4 linked regions of the Macaca fascicularis genome follow. The main gene of each other region encodes a partner of the protein of the gene in region 4 in a complex. Links are inferred from orthologs where the notes say so. Each region holds a gene or a part of one and is shown on either strand. Other genes may lie near its edges.

The links. Proteins that work in one complex are often made in the same cells at the same time.
Region 1: DRC10 (region 4) and DRC12 share a complex: the UniProt entries of both Homo sapiens proteins name them as parts of the nexin-dynein regulatory complex. The link is inferred for Macaca fascicularis from reciprocal best matches to the Homo sapiens genes DRC10 and DRC12.
Region 2: DRC10 (region 4) and DRC5 share a complex: the UniProt entries of both Homo sapiens proteins name them as parts of the nexin-dynein regulatory complex. The link is inferred for Macaca fascicularis from reciprocal best matches to the Homo sapiens genes DRC10 and DRC5.
Region 3: DRC10 (region 4) and DRC1 share a complex: the UniProt entries of both Homo sapiens proteins name them as parts of the nexin-dynein regulatory complex. The link is inferred for Macaca fascicularis from reciprocal best matches to the Homo sapiens genes DRC10 and DRC1.

What each region holds. Positions count from the first base shown.
Region 1 is NC_088388.1:118,066,398-118,070,400, forward strand, and holds the start of DRC12 (dynein regulatory complex protein 12), read right to left. Parts: upstream 2,841-4,003; 5' UTR 2,798-2,840; intron 2,500-2,797; 5' UTR 2,488-2,499; coding exon 2,427-2,487; intron 2,001-2,426; coding exon 1,926-2,000; intron 857-1,925; coding exon 737-856; intron 1-736. UniProt on the Homo sapiens protein: Component of the nexin-dynein regulatory complex (N-DRC), a key regulator of ciliary/flagellar motility which maintains the alignment and integrity of the distal axoneme and regulates microtubule sliding in motile axonemes.
Region 2 is NC_088378.1:127,220,997-127,225,066, forward strand, and holds the start of DRC5 (dynein regulatory complex subunit 5), read left to right. Parts: upstream 1-1,230; 5' UTR 1,231-1,345; exon of another isoform or gene 1,346-1,862; intron 1,863-2,720; exon of another isoform or gene 2,721-2,826; intron 2,827-4,070. UniProt on the Homo sapiens protein: Component of the nexin-dynein regulatory complex (N-DRC) a key regulator of ciliary/flagellar motility which maintains the alignment and integrity of the distal axoneme and regulates microtubule sliding in motile axonemes.
Region 3 is NC_088387.1:95,843,291-95,847,581, forward strand, and holds the start of DRC1 (dynein regulatory complex protein 1), read right to left. Parts: upstream 2,841-4,291; 5' UTR 2,784-2,840; coding exon 2,629-2,783; intron 1-2,628. UniProt on the Homo sapiens protein: Component of the nexin-dynein regulatory complex (N-DRC) a key regulator of ciliary/flagellar motility which maintains the alignment and integrity of the distal axoneme and regulates microtubule sliding in motile axonemes.
Region 4 is NC_088385.1:120,145,309-120,149,537, forward strand, and holds the start of DRC10 (dynein regulatory complex protein 10), read right to left. Parts: upstream 2,836-4,229; 5' UTR 2,794-2,835; intron 1-2,793. UniProt on the Homo sapiens protein: Component of the nexin-dynein regulatory complex (N-DRC), a key regulator of ciliary/flagellar motility which maintains the alignment and integrity of the distal axoneme and regulates microtubule sliding in motile axonemes.

The DNA of each region.
Region 1 (4,003 bases), on a different chromosome or scaffold from region 4:
AGGCCTTCTTGGTTCTTCTTTTTCTTTTTCTTTTTTTTTTTTTTGAGACGGGGTCTCGCTCTGTCGCCCAGGCTGGAGTGCAGTGGTGCGATCTTGGCTCACTGCAAGCTCCGCCTCCCGGGTTCACCCCCTTCTCCTGCCTCAGTCTCCCGAGTAGCTGGGACTACAGGCACCTGCCACCACACCCGGCTAATTTTTTGCATTTTTAGTAGAGACGGAGTTTCACCATGTTAGCCAGGATGGTCTCGATCTCCTGACCTCGTGATCCGCCCGCCTCGGCCTCCCAAAGTGCTGGGATTACAGGTGTGAGCCACCACTCCCGGCCCATGGTCTTCTTGGTTCTTTTTGTGATTCTGAGAAGCTAGAGACCATGAAAACCTGAGGAAGGGAAAGGAAGCCCAACCCACCTCCCCCACCGTCCAGCTTTGGATGGGGATGCTAGTCCTTCTCCCCTCCCATAGGATGGTTGAGGTGATGGCTATGACTGCATGTGTATCCTACACAGCATCAAGCACATGGCACCAGGCATCCTGGCAGGCCCCTGCCTGGGATCCCAGGAACCTACCTGCCTTTGATTCCTGCAGGATCCTGCCTGATTTGTACTGTTCGGGGAAGACCAAGACCAGGCCTGGCAGTTGGAAGCCCTCCTTGTTTCCCTTCCTTGCATCATCTGACCCTGCTGGTTGTCTTCCTCCAGGCCCCTGTCTCCTGCCCACCTGCTCAACAGACCACACACCTGCATATATGGCCTTCCCTTCACTTCGGGCCCCTTCCAGCTCAGCCTCCACCCTTTGCAGCCTCTGCTTCAGCTGGTCTTCGGAAGCCTTGGCTCGACGGGCTTCATCCCTCCGTACAGCTGTGAGCAGTCCCAGAGCCACTGTCAGGACTGGCTGGGGCCCGCTAAATCAGCCCCCATGAACTTGATGAATTTTGCCCGTCTCTAGAAATCTGGTGGCGGGGCGTCCAGCCTCTTATTCTCTCTCTGGGTTTTGTTGTTTTTGTTTTTTATCCCTAGAGTCTCACAGGCTCCTCATTATTAAGAAGTAAAGACTCTCTCCATGTTCTGCCTATACAAAATAGCTTTCCGGATAGCCCGGCATGGTGGCTCATGCCTGTAATCCCAATATTTTGGGGGGCTTAGGTGGGAGAATTGCTTGAGGCCAGGAGTTTGAGACCTGCCTGGGCAACAGAGTGAGACCTTGTCTCTATAAGAAAAATAAATAGGGCCAGGCGCAGTGGCTCATGCCTGTAATCCCAGCACTTTGGGAGGCCAAGGTGGGAGGATCATGAGGTCAAGAGTTCGAGACCAGCTTGGCCAACATGGTGAAAACCTGTCTCTAATAAGAATACAAAAATTAGCCGGGTGTGGTGGCTGTGTGCCTGTAATCCCAGCTACTTGGGAGGCCGAGGCAGGGGAATCACTTGAGCCTGGGAGGCAGAGGTTGCAGTGAGCCAAGATCGCGCCACTGCACTCCAGCCTGGGCAACAGAGCACAGGACTCTGTCTTAAAAAAAAAGATAGTAAAATAAAATAAAATGAAATAATAAAATAAAATAAATTTTAAAAAAGAAAAATAAATAAATAAATAAATAAAGTAGCTAGGTAGGGTGGTGTGCACCAGCTACTCGTGAAGCTGAGGTGGGAAGATTGTTGGGGTCCAGGAGTTTGAGATTACAGTGAGCTATGATCACACCACTGCAGTCCAGCCTGGGCAATAGAGCAAGATTCTGTCTAAAAAAAAAAAAAGCTTCCTTTATCAACTCTCACTGCCCACCCCTCTCTCATTGTCTTTTTCCACTAGGGGATGGTTAGGGTTCAACTTAGCCCCCCACTGTATCTCCAACTCTCCAATCCCCCAGGATACAGAAATGCCCCATTTCACTTGCCCTGTTGCCCACCCCCATGCCAACTTCTACCCTCCTTACCCAAGTGGTCTCGGAGCAGCTCCTTCTCCAGCACCACCAGCCTGTGCCTGGACTCAGCCTCCACATCTGCACCTGCTGTGGCAAGTGGCAGAGCCTCAGCTCTTCGTGATCTCAGCATTCCTCACTCTCCTTGCGTCCTCGCCCCACACCCTGCACTTTTGCCACAGGAGACCTGAGGACCACTAAATGAGGGATCCATGGTGGCAGAGTCTACTGAAGTCAGCACTGTGTCCTTACCAACCAGCACATAACAGATATGCAAAATACACATGACAAATATATTAGGAAGGCACAAAGCTAGATGGTGCTTAAAGGACAGCGTGAGTGACCATTTCCCCACTTCCTCAGCTCCCTGCATCTGACTTCAAGGACACGAAAGAGGAAGGTCAAGAGAGTTCCATCCTGTCATGTAGAAGGCTGAATTCTCTCTGGAGGAGCTCTGCGTGGTCTTCATGCCAGAACATGGAGAAGCAGGGGGCACCTCCACCCACCATGACTCACCCCAGTTCTTTTTCTTCTGCGCCCCAGATTTCTTCCCTTTTTCTTTGTTTTTAAGTGGCATCTCCTTGCTGTCCTGGGAGAAGGAGGGGACCTTATGTTTAGGTCTGGACACAGGGATGCTTTCCTGACTGAATCAGGAGTCTCAGGGGAGTCTCCTGGTTCTACTCCAAATTTGCATCTCATACTCTTCAGAAAAGTCAGTTCACAGTCTCTTTGGAACCTCAGGCAGGGTTGGGGTCAACGGGGAGGGTGAAGTTTTTTCTCTCAACCAGGCTGACTGTACGGAAGTCACTCCTCACAACTCTCTTTTAGATAAATCCCTGTACCTGCTCCCCTCCCTCTTCCCATCATCCTCAACCCCCTCTTCCTACCTGTAGGATCCTCTCCTGCCAGTGTTGGGGCTCCCTGTGGAGTGACCCACCCGTGGGGAGTGGCAGAGAGAAGGCCCAACTAGCGAGGAGCCTGAGGCGGGGCCTGGGTCCTGGGAGCCAATCCTTGGTGGCAAATTTCTCTTGAGGGCAGGACTGAGGGCTGGAAGGTTGGGTTTCGGGAGGCTGTATGTTGTCCAGGCAACTGGGAAACATGGAGTTGGTAGGAAGGTGGAATGGGCTAAATCAGCTCACAAAGCTTAAAATATCAAGGTCTCAAAGGGTCAGTTCTTTCCTTATCCCAAAACCCTAAGTATAGTTTGAAAAGAAAGGGCTTTGGAGGCCGATTGGTTATGATTCATTGCCACGTAGACATGGCCTGCAATTTGGAGACTTCCAAATTCAGATGTACACATCTGAGATAATATGTTGTGCTGATACAGAGGAAAAGGACTGACAGTAGCCATGTTGGACAATTGACATCCCGAGGTCCCATCAGCAAAATGACATTAGTAGGTTTAAAACTGAAGATCTAAGCTGGGGGCGGTGGCTCATGCCTATAATCCCAACATTTTCAGAAGCTGAGGCAGGAGGATTACTTGAGGCCAGGAGTTCAAGACCAGCCTGGACAACACAGTGAGACCTCATTTCTACAAAAAATTAAAAAATTAGCCTGGCAGGGTGGTGCACACCTGTTAGTCTCAGCTACTCGGGAGGCTGAAGCAGGAGAACCACTTGAGCCTGGGAGGTTGAGGCAGCAGTGAGCTATGATTGCACCACTGCACTCCAGCCTGGATGACAGAGGGAGACCCTGTCTCAAACAAACAAACAAACAAACAAACAAAAACCCCAAACCACTGAAGATCCTCTTCAGTACACTGTGGAATGAGGGTAATAAGTACAGGAATAGGTAGTCGAGGGCGTTTCCCACTTCAGAGAAATGAGACACAAAGGAACAGCAGACCCATGGACTCTAGGGTACTGACCTAGAGGGATGCAAGTGTGCAGGAAAGTGCTCAGGTTAGAGACAAGACATTTGAGTTTGAGTCCCAACTGTGGATATGTAAACTGAGGCAAGCCATTTGACTTTGCTCAGCATCAGTTTCCTGATCTTTAAATGTTTGATTTTGTAGCTCTTGAAAAGCCTGTGTTTTAGCTAGGTGTTTACATGGCTATCTTCTCTCCTAGTTACTTAATCTATTGCTACAT
Region 2 (4,070 bases), on a different chromosome or scaffold from region 4:
TTCTTAAAACAAGTTGTACAGCACCTGCCTCAAGCCTGAGCTAAAGCTGAAAATTGACACCTCAAAGCAGGTGGAAGCCAAGAGATGGAGGAAAGCCCTCCTTCCCTACTAGAATGAGTCCACCTCAGACAGCCAGATGTTGGACCTCTGCCTCTGTTCCTAGATCTCTGTTGCTAGATGAAGGAAAGGGCCCCAGGGGACCCATGTTCAAATCAAGGGCTCCCTGGGTACCAAGTTCTGTGTAGTAAAAATTCTAGCAGCGTGGGCCTGCCTGACATCATTTTCTGCACAGTTTCTCATTCTAATTAAGGCATAGATTTGCTGGTGAGGCACTGGTGAGGGCTTGAACAGACCCAATCCCTGGTGCCTGGCCCCTCGCTGCTTGCAAAGCTTTGCCTCAGCATCCTGGCCACTGGAGCAGTAGCCACTGTTCAGCAGTGCTCACCACAGGCCCTGGTCCAAGTTCCTCCGCGGGCGCCAAGATGAGTTGTGGCACCCCGATTTATTGATGAGTTAACAGAGCTTCGAGATGTACATCCAGGGTAACCAACTAGTAGTCCTCGGCAGAGCCGAAATCAAAGCTACCCTTTGAAACCTCCACCACCCTGGCTGCCTCTCCCTTCCTGAAGGCCACTTTCTTTTTTTATTAGCCGTCCCTCTGAAGTCTGTCCCTCTCACCCTCCAGGAGATCAGGGGCCCCAACCACATCTTGTGGCGCCAGGGCTGGAAGGGTGTTTGGCACAGGACATGGGCTGTGTGAAAGAGCACTCTGTTGGCCTGGAACCTTCCTGCGTCTGGTGCCAGATTTTCAGCCGGGGAAAAGGTGGACGGTGCCCTCCCGCAGGGCCTAAGGTCAACAGGAGACCTCAGGGGAGTTCAGTGACTTACACAGGTGCCCTGGAGAAGGTCCGTCCACCCTCATCTTCCACAGACGCTTTTCCTGGACCAGCTCCCTATCCATGGCCACACAAAAGCTAGCAATAGAGCACAAGGACTCCAGACCAGCAGCCTGCCCGACCTCCACCTCCCGCAGAAAGCCCACCCGTTCCTAGACACGTCCCACGGAAGCACAGGGCATAGCTCAAGACCACGGTCCCACTACCCCCAAAGCGGCCGCTTCCACGGAACCGTCCGAAGGGCTGGCCTCGCCACCCTGCGCGCGAGTGAGCCGCTTGCCGGCGCGCAGCTGCAGCCAAGGAAGCAGCAGCGCCCCCTCCTCTGAACCGCGGCGCACTGGTCCTCCCGGCCCGGCCCGCTCCTAGCAACACGGGGCGTCCCCAACGACAATGACCGGCGCCGGCGCGCGGGACTCTGTGTGAGGCGAGCGCCGAGGCTCCCGAAGCGGGTGAGGCGACCTCGGGGGAGTGGGGACACACAGCCCCGGTCTCCCTTATCGGGGCCCGCTCAGGTCAGCTGGGCCCGGGAGCCCCTCTAGCGTCCTCTGCCCACACCGGCCAGAAGCCCACAGGCGGCCATTGCCTGGGTTCCGTTTTCTGTGGCGGGGAAGCGCCGGTCCGTACCCACAGGAGACCCCACGCCCTCCATGCGAGGACGCCCCGCGCCTCCTCCCCACCACAGTCACTGTCTGCAGACCGTCTGGCCCAGGGCTGGGTATCCGAGTGAGGCGAGCGGAGGAACTATGGGAAGAAGAGGGGGAAAATGGGGCATCCGTAGGGCGTGGAGGAGAGCGGTCCCAAGCCCTGGGGCCCCAGCCTTCTGCGAAAGGCCGTCCCTGTTCCCAGCACCCGAGGGCTGTAATCCCTCCCGCGTGTCCAGAAGCTTGCTTCCGCATCTCCCTCCCTCCCACTGCACTGCCGGTTTTCCTGGGTTACCAAGGAGAAACCAGCGCCTCTACACCCCAGGTAGGATGGGGGAGGGACCCCGTGGCCTTTGCAGCTGAGCTTCCTTGCTAGGGTGTCTGAGCTGAAGGTAAGGAGGGGTGGGAGCAGAACCGCTGGAGTCCCTTTTGAGACAACAGACCTGAGTGGTCAGGAGTTGGGAGGAGGCCAGCCCGGGGGCTGTGGTAAGTGAACTGGCGGTTTCACCCAGCCCAAGTCCAAGTACGCGGGCCGAGGCCCGGTTGGAGAAAGTTTTTTGCCCTTCCATAAATGGAATTCCCAACTTGGGAGTGACTTACCCCAAAGTAAGACATGGTGGGCATGAAAGAAATGGAGGTGGGTGTAGACAAAAGCCGAGAGTCCTGAGGACAGACGAGGGCTCTCCTGAGGGGATCTGGGATGGGAGTGGCTAAGAAGGCAGTCAGAGCAGTGGGTGCAGAGCCAGCTCCTGGGGAAGTGTCCCAGGCACAGAGGTGCTGTCTGCCCAAAGAGAACTGGGTGTCTCCACTTCTCGGCTAAGAGGAAGGGAGGTAAGGACAGTTGAGGACCAGGACTGTGATGCACAAGAAGGTGAGAATGCTCCCCTACAGCATCTTCCTCGTGTTCCCATTAGGGCAGGTGGAAGGAGCTCCTGCCCAGAATGGTTAGATTTAGCTGGGGACCTGAGGAAGGATAGAGAAGACCGGAGACTTCCTGTGGAGGGAATGTGCCAGGGGCAGGAGAGCACTACTCTGCAGCACTCCGTTGGGCTCCTCTGGCCCTCCAAAGGATGCAGGCAGTGGTCCAGCTTGCAGAAGGCTTCTGTGCCCAGCAGTGAACTGGAAGAGGGAGCCTGGACTATTTAGGTCAGCACCAAGGGGATAACCCTGGGCTCCGTGTTGGTGAACAAGAGAGCTCATGAGCTGGAGAAAGTGGGAGACTCACTGGAAAAGTGCTGTGAATGACTGAGTTGGGAGCAATTTATAAGCAACCCCAGCATCTCATGGAAGTAAGAGCATTAGACAGACACAAACTAAAACCTCAGCTTCTCCACTTACTAGCTAGTGACATTTAGTAAGTTACTTAAGCTTTCTAAGTTTCAGTTTCTTCATTTGTGAAACAGGGACAATAGTGTTAAATAATAATCCTCAATAATTAATTTCAGAATTTAATGAAATTATGTAAGTAAGCCATCTAGCATCTTCACTATATCTAACACACATCTTGAGTGCTGGCTCTGGGCCCAGCACTATATGAAATGTCTCACACACATTAACACCTTAATCTTCTGGGTAATCCTATGAAATAGGTACTATTAAGTACTGTCCTCACATTATAGATGAAGAAACTGAGGCAAGCGGGGACCTGCCCAAGGTTGCACAGATAGTGGGGGGCACTGTGGAGATTTGACTTGAGGCAGCAGCTCAACTCCTGAGTACTTAGCCAGCTGCTGTCCTGCCTCCTGCTATGTACATGCCATTGAAGGCCTAGAGCTCTCAATAAATCATAGCTATATATAGCCAAGGGTATCGTTCCCAGAACACCTGTCCACCAGATTCAAGCCATCAGAAATGAGGACAACTCTGGCCAAACTGGAGCATCTTGTCACTTTCTATTACACGTGCTTGGGCATGGAAAGAGCAGTCCTTCACACCCGGTCCTTTGAGTTAATGGCCTGGTATGGATGTTGTTCCCTGTGTGTGATTTCAGGACCCTGGACCCTGGTCCTGAGGATGCACAGTAGGGGCCCAGGGGAGGAGGATTGTCCCTTCCCTAGGGACTGTGGTACCAGGTTAGAGACACAGCCATGTGAAGCCAAACTAGCTGGTAAAGGCAGGCCCCAGAGAAGTGAAAGTCCACTGCATGTGTCCCCACTTTCCCCCTCTGAGAGCACAGCACATCCTTGGATGGGGACACCAGGTGGTGGCACAAGACATACCCACTCCTGGTGGCCCTGACCTCTCTGGAATGTCAGGATTCCTGCCCTGCCCATGTTCAAGACTGGCGTCTTGAACATGCTCCTAGTCTTCAAACTCTGGGATTCTCTGACTGACCCAACAGGTTCCCCAGGGAAGGAAAGCTCCAGAGAGGAAGGTGACCCTTCAGCCACCTCCAGGACTGCCCTGATGAAAATATTAAATTTTGTTTCATTTAGGGGGAAAATGCATTTACCCTAACAGGGATGAAAACTGTACATTAGGGCCCTGAAATTCCCATAGTAAAGTACCAAAGGCCTGGGCGCGCTCTCAGCCC
Region 3 (4,291 bases), on a different chromosome or scaffold from region 4:
GACTCAGCCAGTCATCATGTCTCTAATGGCCAAAAGTAGAATTGGGACTGACATACTTAGAAGTTTGAAAAACTCCACTCCTTGGCCTACAAATAGACCTGTCATAGTGGGGAAGGCCAAAAGTACATCTCTGAAACTGCACCTGAGTACACAGAAAACAACATTGCCGCCCAGGGCGGTTGGTGGGCATTAGTGTCACCCTGAAGTATCTCAACGATGCAGGAGTGGTGATCCCTATTGAATCTCCTTTTAATTCATGGATCTGGCACCTGCAGAAACTGGATCCTAGAAAACGACTGTCAACTACCGGAAGCTGCACAGGTAGCACTCCTGAACACAGCATCTACGCAAGTGTGGTAAGCTTCGCTAGAGCAAATTTGTACAGCCTCAGGCACAGTATGTGTGGCTACTGATTGGGTCAAATGCATGCTTTTCTACATCAGGAAAAAGAATCAGGAAGTTCACATTTACATGGAACAGACAATGATATACACTCACAAGTCTGTCACACTCACAGGACCATGGTAATTCTCCTGATCTCTGTCATAATATATTCTGAATACATCAGGGACATCTGGATATCCCAGAGAACATCACAATGATCCATTACTTCAGCACTGGCAAACTATGGCCTGTGGGCCAGATCCAGTCCACCACGTGCTTTTTTATGGCTTCCAGGCAAATAATGATTCTGACAATTTTTTTTTTTTTTTGAGATAGAGTCTCGCTCTGTTGCCCAGGCTGGAGTACAATGGCACGATCTCAGCTCACTGCAACCTCTGCCTCTTGGGTTCAAGCGATTCTCCTGCCTCAGTCTCCTGAGTAGCTGGGATTACAGGTGTACGCCACCATCCCTGGCTAATTTTTGTATTTTTAATAGCGACAGGGTTTCGCCATGTTGGTCAGGCTGGTCTCAAACTCCTGACCTCATGATCCCGCCCGCCTCAGCCTCCCGAAGTGTTGGGATTACAGGTATGAGCCACTGCGCCTGGCCCTTTTTTTTTTTTTTTTTTTTTTTTGAGACGGAGTTTTGCACTTGTCACCCAGGCTGGAGTGCAGTGGCACTATCTCAGTTCACTGCAACCTCCACCTCCCAGGTTCGAGCAATTCTCCTGCCTCAGGCTCCCAAGTAACTGAGATTACAGGTGCCTGCCACCACACCCAACTAATTTTTGTATTTTTAGTACAGACGGGGTTTCACCATGTTGGCCAGGCTGGCCTTGATCTCCTGACCTTAGGTGATCCTCCTGCCTTGGCCTCCCAAAGTGCTGGGATTACAGGCACAAGCTACAATTTTTTACAATTTTAAATGGTTAAAAAATATATAAATGAATGGTTTAAAAAGACTAGGATGAATAAGTAGAGCACAGGGGATTTTTAGGGCAGTGAAAATATTTGGTGTAATACCATATTGGTGGGCTCATGTCACTATAAATTTATTCAAACCCATAGGCTATACAACACCAAAAAGAAACCCTAAGGTAAACGATGGAGTTCAAGTGATAACGATGCGCCAAGGTTCATATATTGTTACAAATGTGCCTTCCAGTGCAGGATGTTGACAGTGGCTGTGCACGTGTGGTGGCAGGGAGTATATGGGAATGCTGTACCTTTTGACCAATTTTGCTGTGATCCTAAAAACTGCTCTAAAAAATAAAGTTTATTATTATTTTTAATCAAAAGAAGGCTATTTTGTGATACATGAACAGTATATGAAATTCAAATTTCAGTGTCCATAAATAAAGCTTTATTGGAACACAGTCATGCCCATTTGTTTATGTCTTGCCTGTGGCTGCTTTTGCACTACAATGGCAGTTGAGCAGCTAGGAAAGATGCCATATGATCCCAAAAGCCTAAAATATTTACTATCTGGCCCTTTACTGAAAGGGTTTGCCAGCCCCTGCATTCCACTGATGGCCCTGCAGCAATCAGCCAGGATGAGCGAGTGATGGAAACACACTGCAGGGCTTGGTAAGACATGTGTGCTCCAGACGTTGGCAATCAACCCTATGAAGGCCCAGGGACTGCATGTCATTCAAGTTTGTAGGGGTCCAGTGGTCAGTGGCACACTGGGATAGCCTATCAAGTAAAAAACAAATCTACTGCGTTTTGCATCCTCTACAGAGAAGGAAACTCAATGCCTCTTAGACCACTTTGGGTCCTAGTACATCCCGCATTAGGAATACTATTCAGGCTGACACAAAAAGCTGCCAGCTTTGAGTGGTGCCTGGAACAGGAAAGGACCCAGGCCACAGTGTAAGCAGCCAGGCTACTTGGGCCACATGATCCAGCAGACCCTACGGTTTGGGGGTGTACGTAGTGGAAAAGATGCCATGTGCAGACCACAGTCGCGGGCCACCAGGCCCGATTAATATTTTGGTGTTTTATAGAGATGCGGTCTCTCTATGCTGCCCAGACTGATCATCTCGAACTCCTGGGCTCAAGTGAGCCTCCCGCCTCGGCCTCCCTGAATGCTGGGATGACAGGCGCGCGTCGCGGCACCGGCCCAGCGTTTTACTTTCCCATACTCTGCATGAACCTTCCGGAAGAAATGTTTCTATTTCATCAGGAAACCAGCCCTGCTCCGGCCCCTGCTGCGCGATCCCGCCCCGCCCGCCCAGCGCTCACCGCCTCCGGGCTTCTAGGCGCGCCGCGATGCGGAGGCGCCGGGCCTGGATGCGCTCCTGAGGGTTGTCGGAGTGGACCGAGGGCGCGAGAATCTGGGTGGACAAGTGCTCGTCCAGGTTCGGGTCCAGGCCCGCTAGGGACCCCGGCGGATTCATGGCAGGAGTCCCCGGCACCTAGGCGGCTCCCTCCGCACCACCTCCAGACCGCAGGCTGGTTGCTAGCAACAAACCGTTGCCAGGGAGAGCGGTCACCGGGGCCACCGCCCGAGTGGTTGCGCGCGCAGCTCCCTGGGCCCAGCCCGCCGCCAGCCGCCATTCGGGCGGAGCATCCCAGCCTCGGGCTGACGCCTCTCTAGCCGGTGGCTTGTCAGGGCTGTTGTCAGCCCCACGAAGGCCCGGTCGTATTAGCGGAGCTGTGGAGTCTCACCAGGAGACTAGAGGACTAAAGAGCTGGACCAAGCTGTGGTTCATCACTTACTGACCTTGATGATTAATTCATCTTCCATTAATTCATCAAATATTCCTCCAACTCATAGTCACCAAATACAAATACAAATGTTTGTAAAAATACAAAACTTAGCTGGGTTTGGTGGTGGGCACCTGTAATCCCAGCTACTCGGGAGGCTGAGGCCGGAGAATCACTTGAATCTGGGAGGTGGATGTTGCAGTGAGCCGAGATCGAGCCACTGCACTCCATCCTGGGCAAGAGCAAGACTCTGTCTCAAACAAACCCAACCAACCAACCAACCAAATACTGGATACCATTTAACAGGGTTCTGTCCCATTAGCCCTTGGGGAATTAAGGGCACTGGATGAGCAGTGAGAAAGGGTGGGTACTAGTCCTAGCCCTGCCCTGCCACCTTGGGCAAGTCACAACTTCTTGAGGGCCATTTTCTCAGCTGTTAAATGGTGCAACCCACAGACAATTGTGGGGCCAAGAAGATCCACCCTTTGTGAGTAAGAACTGCCCAGAGGCAAATGGAGTGGGTTTTTAAAATCAGTTCTTCCAAGTTTGCAAGCAGTAGTAAGGTTTAGGAATGCCAAAACCATCCAACAGCTGTAGAGTCTAACAGCAGCTGCCTGGATCCTTGCCTCACACCTGCCTAGGTGGTGGTGGTAGGAGGAGTGGGGGTAGTTGCTTCTAGGCTTCAGGGTCTTCTGCCAGATCTCTGTCTCCTTTGGTTGAAACCTAAAGCATTAAACTCTCCTAGGAGCCATGGTACAGCTCTGACCAAAAACTCACCCTGGTTCTGGTTCTTGTTTCCACTATCCATAAGGACAGAAACAAGTATGTGTGCATACGCATGTCTATGCCTGGGAGTAGGATACCATGAGAAAGTCAGTGGGAATCAGCTGTTGCACAAGAGATAAGTGAGAGCAAAGGTACCATACAAACCCATGAAAAGAGATCAGTGAGATACTTTGGCCCTACACTGTCCCGATACCACTTCCAACATCTTTTTAAATAAGAAATCTGACTCCATTTTTTGCTGCTGATATTTGGCTGCTGACAGCTTTTAAGCAGCACTCCCTCTTCTCCACATCTGGGCAAGCTGTTAAAAAAGCCTAGGTGTGGCCGGGCGCGGTGGCTCACGCCTGTAATCCCAGCACTTTGGGAGGCCGAGATGGGAGAATCACGAGGTCAGGAGATCGAGACCATCCTG
Region 4 (4,229 bases):
TGAAACCCCATCTCTACTAAAAATACAAAAATTAGCAGCACATGATGGCGGGCACCTGTAATCCCAGCTACCTGGTAGGCTGAGGCAGGAGAATTGCTTGGACCCAAGAGGCGTAGGTTGCAGTGAGCTGAGATTGCACCACTGCATTCCAGCCTGGGCAACAGAGAGGGGCTCTGTCTCAAAAACAAAACAAACAAAAAACAGCCTATCTCAAACCCCTCCTGCTCTCAGGCACTAATGTATAATGTTACTTTATGTCAGAAACCAACCCCCCATGAACAATTTCTCCCTGGATTAACAATTTCTCATTCTTTAGGTCTTAGCTCAATGGCTACCCCTTCTCAGACAGGAACACACAGCACTTTACAACCTGTGGAAATTCTCTCACCTTTCCTGCATGGTACTAACCACGCGTGTAATTTTTTTTTTTACAGCTCTATTGAGGTGTAATTTACATTACCATAAAATTCACCCATTGTAAGTATAAAACTCAATGACTATTTTTGTAAATGTATCTAAAGTTGCCACATCAGTTTTAGATACAATCCTGTTTTAGAACATTTCTATCACTCCACCAAATTCCCATGAGCTAATCTGCAAACGATCTCTGTTTCCACTCACATTTTTTTGTTGTAGTTGTTTTGTTTTTGAGACTGAGTCTCGCTCTGTTGCCCAGGCTGGAGTACAGTGGCGTGATCTCAGCTCACTGCAACCTCCACCTTCCAGATTCAAGCAATTCTCGTGCCACTGCACTCCAACCTGGGCAACAACACAAAACTCCATCTCAAAAAAAAAAGAAAAGAAAAATCGTAAAGCTCAGATCAAAATAATGAAATACTCATTTGCTTTTTTTTTTTTTTTTGAGACAGAGTCTCACTCTATTGCCCAGGCTGGAATGCAGTGGCATGATCTCGGCTCACTGCAACCTCCGCCTCCTAGGTTCAAGTGATTCTCCTGCCTCAGCCTCCCAAGTAGCTGGGAATACAGGGGCCCGCCAGCATGCCCTGCTAATTTTTGTATTTTTAGTAGAGACGGGGTTTTGCTATGTTGGCCAGGCTGGTCTCGAACTCCTGACCTCAGGTGATCCACCTGCCTGTGCCTCCCACAGTGCTGGGATTACAGGCATGAGCCACTGTGCCTGGCCTATGTTTAACTTTTTAAGAAACTGCCAACTATATTTCAGATTGGTGGTACCAATTGGTATTCTGCTGTACCTACCAGCAATATATGAAAGCTAGTTTGTTTATCTACATGATGATATTTGGGATTGTCTTTTTGATTTTTAAATGTCTACTTAACTCTTTTGCCCATTAAAAAAATGGAGTTGTCCTCTTGAGTTATAAGAGTTATTTTTATTTTCTACATACAAGTCTATTATAAGACACATGAGATTTGCAAATATTTCCTCCATGTCTGTGTCTGTGGCTGATCTTTTCATTTTCTTACGAAAATATCTTTTGAACCTCAAAGTTTTTCTTTTTTATATATTTTTTTGAGACAGGGTTTTTCACTCTGTGGCCCAGGCTGGAGTGCAGCAGTGCAATCATGGCTCACTACAACCTCCGCCTCTTGGGTTCAAGCGATTCTTCCACCTCAGCCTTATTTATTTATTTATTTATTTATTTATTTATTTATTGAGATGGAGCCTCGCTCTATCACCCCCGCGGGAGTGCAGTGGCACCATCTCGGCTCACTGCAACCTCCACCACCCGGGTTCAAGAAATTCTCCTGCCTCAGCCTCCCGAGTAGATGGGATCACAGGCATGCACCACCATGCCCAGCTAATTTTTGTATTTTTAGTAGAGACAGGGCTTCACCATGTTGGCCAGGCTGGTCTCAAACTCCTGGCCTCAGGTGATCCGCCGCTCGGCCTCCCAAATTGTTGGGATTGCAGATTGAGCCACTGTGCCCACCCCTCAGCCTCATTTAATCATCACAAGAAACTCTCTATCTTTAGTAGGTACAAAGAGATTACATTTTAAGGACGGAGATGGGAAATAAATTCCAAAGTTAGGACAAAGGCAAAAGTGGTATAATAAAAATTACCTAATTTATTTATTTATTTGGGACAGAGTCCTGCTCTGTTGCGGAGGATGGAGTGCAATGGCGCGATCTTGGTTTACTGCAACCTCGGTCTCCCGGGTTCAAGTGATTCTCGTGCCTTAGCCTCCCGAGTAGCTGGGATTACAGGTGCACCACCATGCCCAGCTAATTTTTGTATTTTCAGTAGAGATGAGGTTTCACTATATTGGCCAGGCTGGTCTAGAACTCCTGACCTTTAGTGATCTGCCCGCCTTGGCCTCCCAAAGTACTGGGATTACAGGCGTGAGTCACCGCGCTAGGCAAAAACAACAACAACAACAACAACAACAAAAACAAACAAAAACTACCTAATTTAAACACTTAAGTGAGATGGCCCGCTCACCGAGGAACGTATGGTCGTTGGGTGGAATGGGAGGGGACTTATAAACCCCCCTCCCACCCACAGCTCCCATGTTTGACTTGAAATAAGTTAACTACGATGTGACTCTGCTTGACTGGTGTCCTTGTCGTTTTAGGGATGAGGGAGTGGGGCCATGAAGTGGGCAGGTAGAAGGGGAAGAATGGAGGCCGGCTCCCTGCAGGCTGTGGAGCGAGAGGTCCAGACTGAGGCAGGGGCTGAGGGACGGGGTCCTGAAGCTGAGACGGGATCGCAGCGGGGGCTACCAATTTCTCAGGGAGCCAAAGGACATCGGGCTGAACCCCATTCCACATCTCCCCCGATCCGCGACCCTTTCCCACCTGGTTACTCACCCGCTCTGACGGCTCCAGGTTTCCCTAGCCACAGTTACCGCCGCGGTCCCAGCGTTGCGAGGTTACCCGCCAATCTCAGAAGGCGGGACTCTGTGTCTGACTGACCTTTCTTTTCACCATTCAATTTCTTGTTCCGCTCAATTGTCCCCACCTCCTGAAGTCTGACCAATCAGAAGCACCGCCATTTTGACCTTGCACCAATGGAAAGACTTGGGACTCCCTCTGGGTTGGACTCAACGATTAAGGCGGGGAAGATGGGAGGAGAAAGGGGCGTGGATTCTTCGTCCCGCCCCTTCTTAAGGAGGCGGGCAGGGAGTACTGCCTCGGCTGCGGGCGAGACCTGCGGAAAGACGTGAGAATTGACCAATCAGAGCTCATCATGGTAGCCCAGTTAGCCAGTAGGACGCTGTGAAGGGGAAATGGGGCGGGGCGAGCGGGGTTGAGAGGACGGTAGGCGGCGGATGGGAGAGCTGGCGCAGCTACCCTGGTGGCGGTGGCTGAAGTGGCGGCGGCTGCGGCGGCTGCAACAGCTTCGGGCTCGGGGTTTTGGCGGCGGCGCCGGCGGGCTGGGCTGCGTGGTACGGACCCCGGCGCGCGGTCCGGGTTGCTGGGGCGGCGCGTGTAAGAATCCGAGGGATGCGAGGACTTGGCCAGAGGGAGAGGGCAGGGATCAGGGTCAGAGGGCGCGGAGTAAGGGGTTGCGGCGCGACACTCTGGTGTGGGAGGTGGGCTGAATGGGCCCAGAGAGGGCGCGGGGAAGTCTCCGCCGCGCTTCTCTCCGTCCAGCCCGGGCCGGGGCTTTGCACCCTCTCTCCTTGCCCCCGACTTCTTGGGGCGACCCTCACGTGGGCGCCCAGCCAGGGGCTGGGAGCACGCGGAGCTGGAGCCAGCGCTCCTGCCTCCTTCTTGCTCCCTCCCTCGCTCTTCTCCCTGGCGCCCTCAGGTGACCCCGCAGGAGTCTCGTGCCCGGGTCAGGCTGCCCGAGCGGACAGCGGCATGGCAGCTGGCCCTCTTCCCCTAGGCCCTTTCCCCAGGGCTGGCCATTTGGGTCCTCTGTAGAGGCAGAAGCAAAGCCCGCGGAGGGAACACTGGACCAGGACTCAGGAGTCCCGGGTTCTAGCCCCGCTCCTGCACTGTGTGACCTTGGGCAAGTCTCTTCCCCTCTCTGGACCTCATTTTTGTCTCGCTGGACAAATGACGTGTTTGAATTCAAATCAGGGTACTGGTTCTAGTCGTAGGTGTATATAGGGTCATGGTTAAGCAGGAAGGTTCCCTGATTCAGACTACCTGGGTTGAAACTTATAAGAGGCAAGTTAACCACTCCAAGATTCAATTTCCTCATTCGTAAAGTGGGGATATTAGCTAAGATAGGATTTTTCAACAGCAGCTCAATTGACATTTTGAGCCACATAATCCCCCGACTCCACCCACCAGCA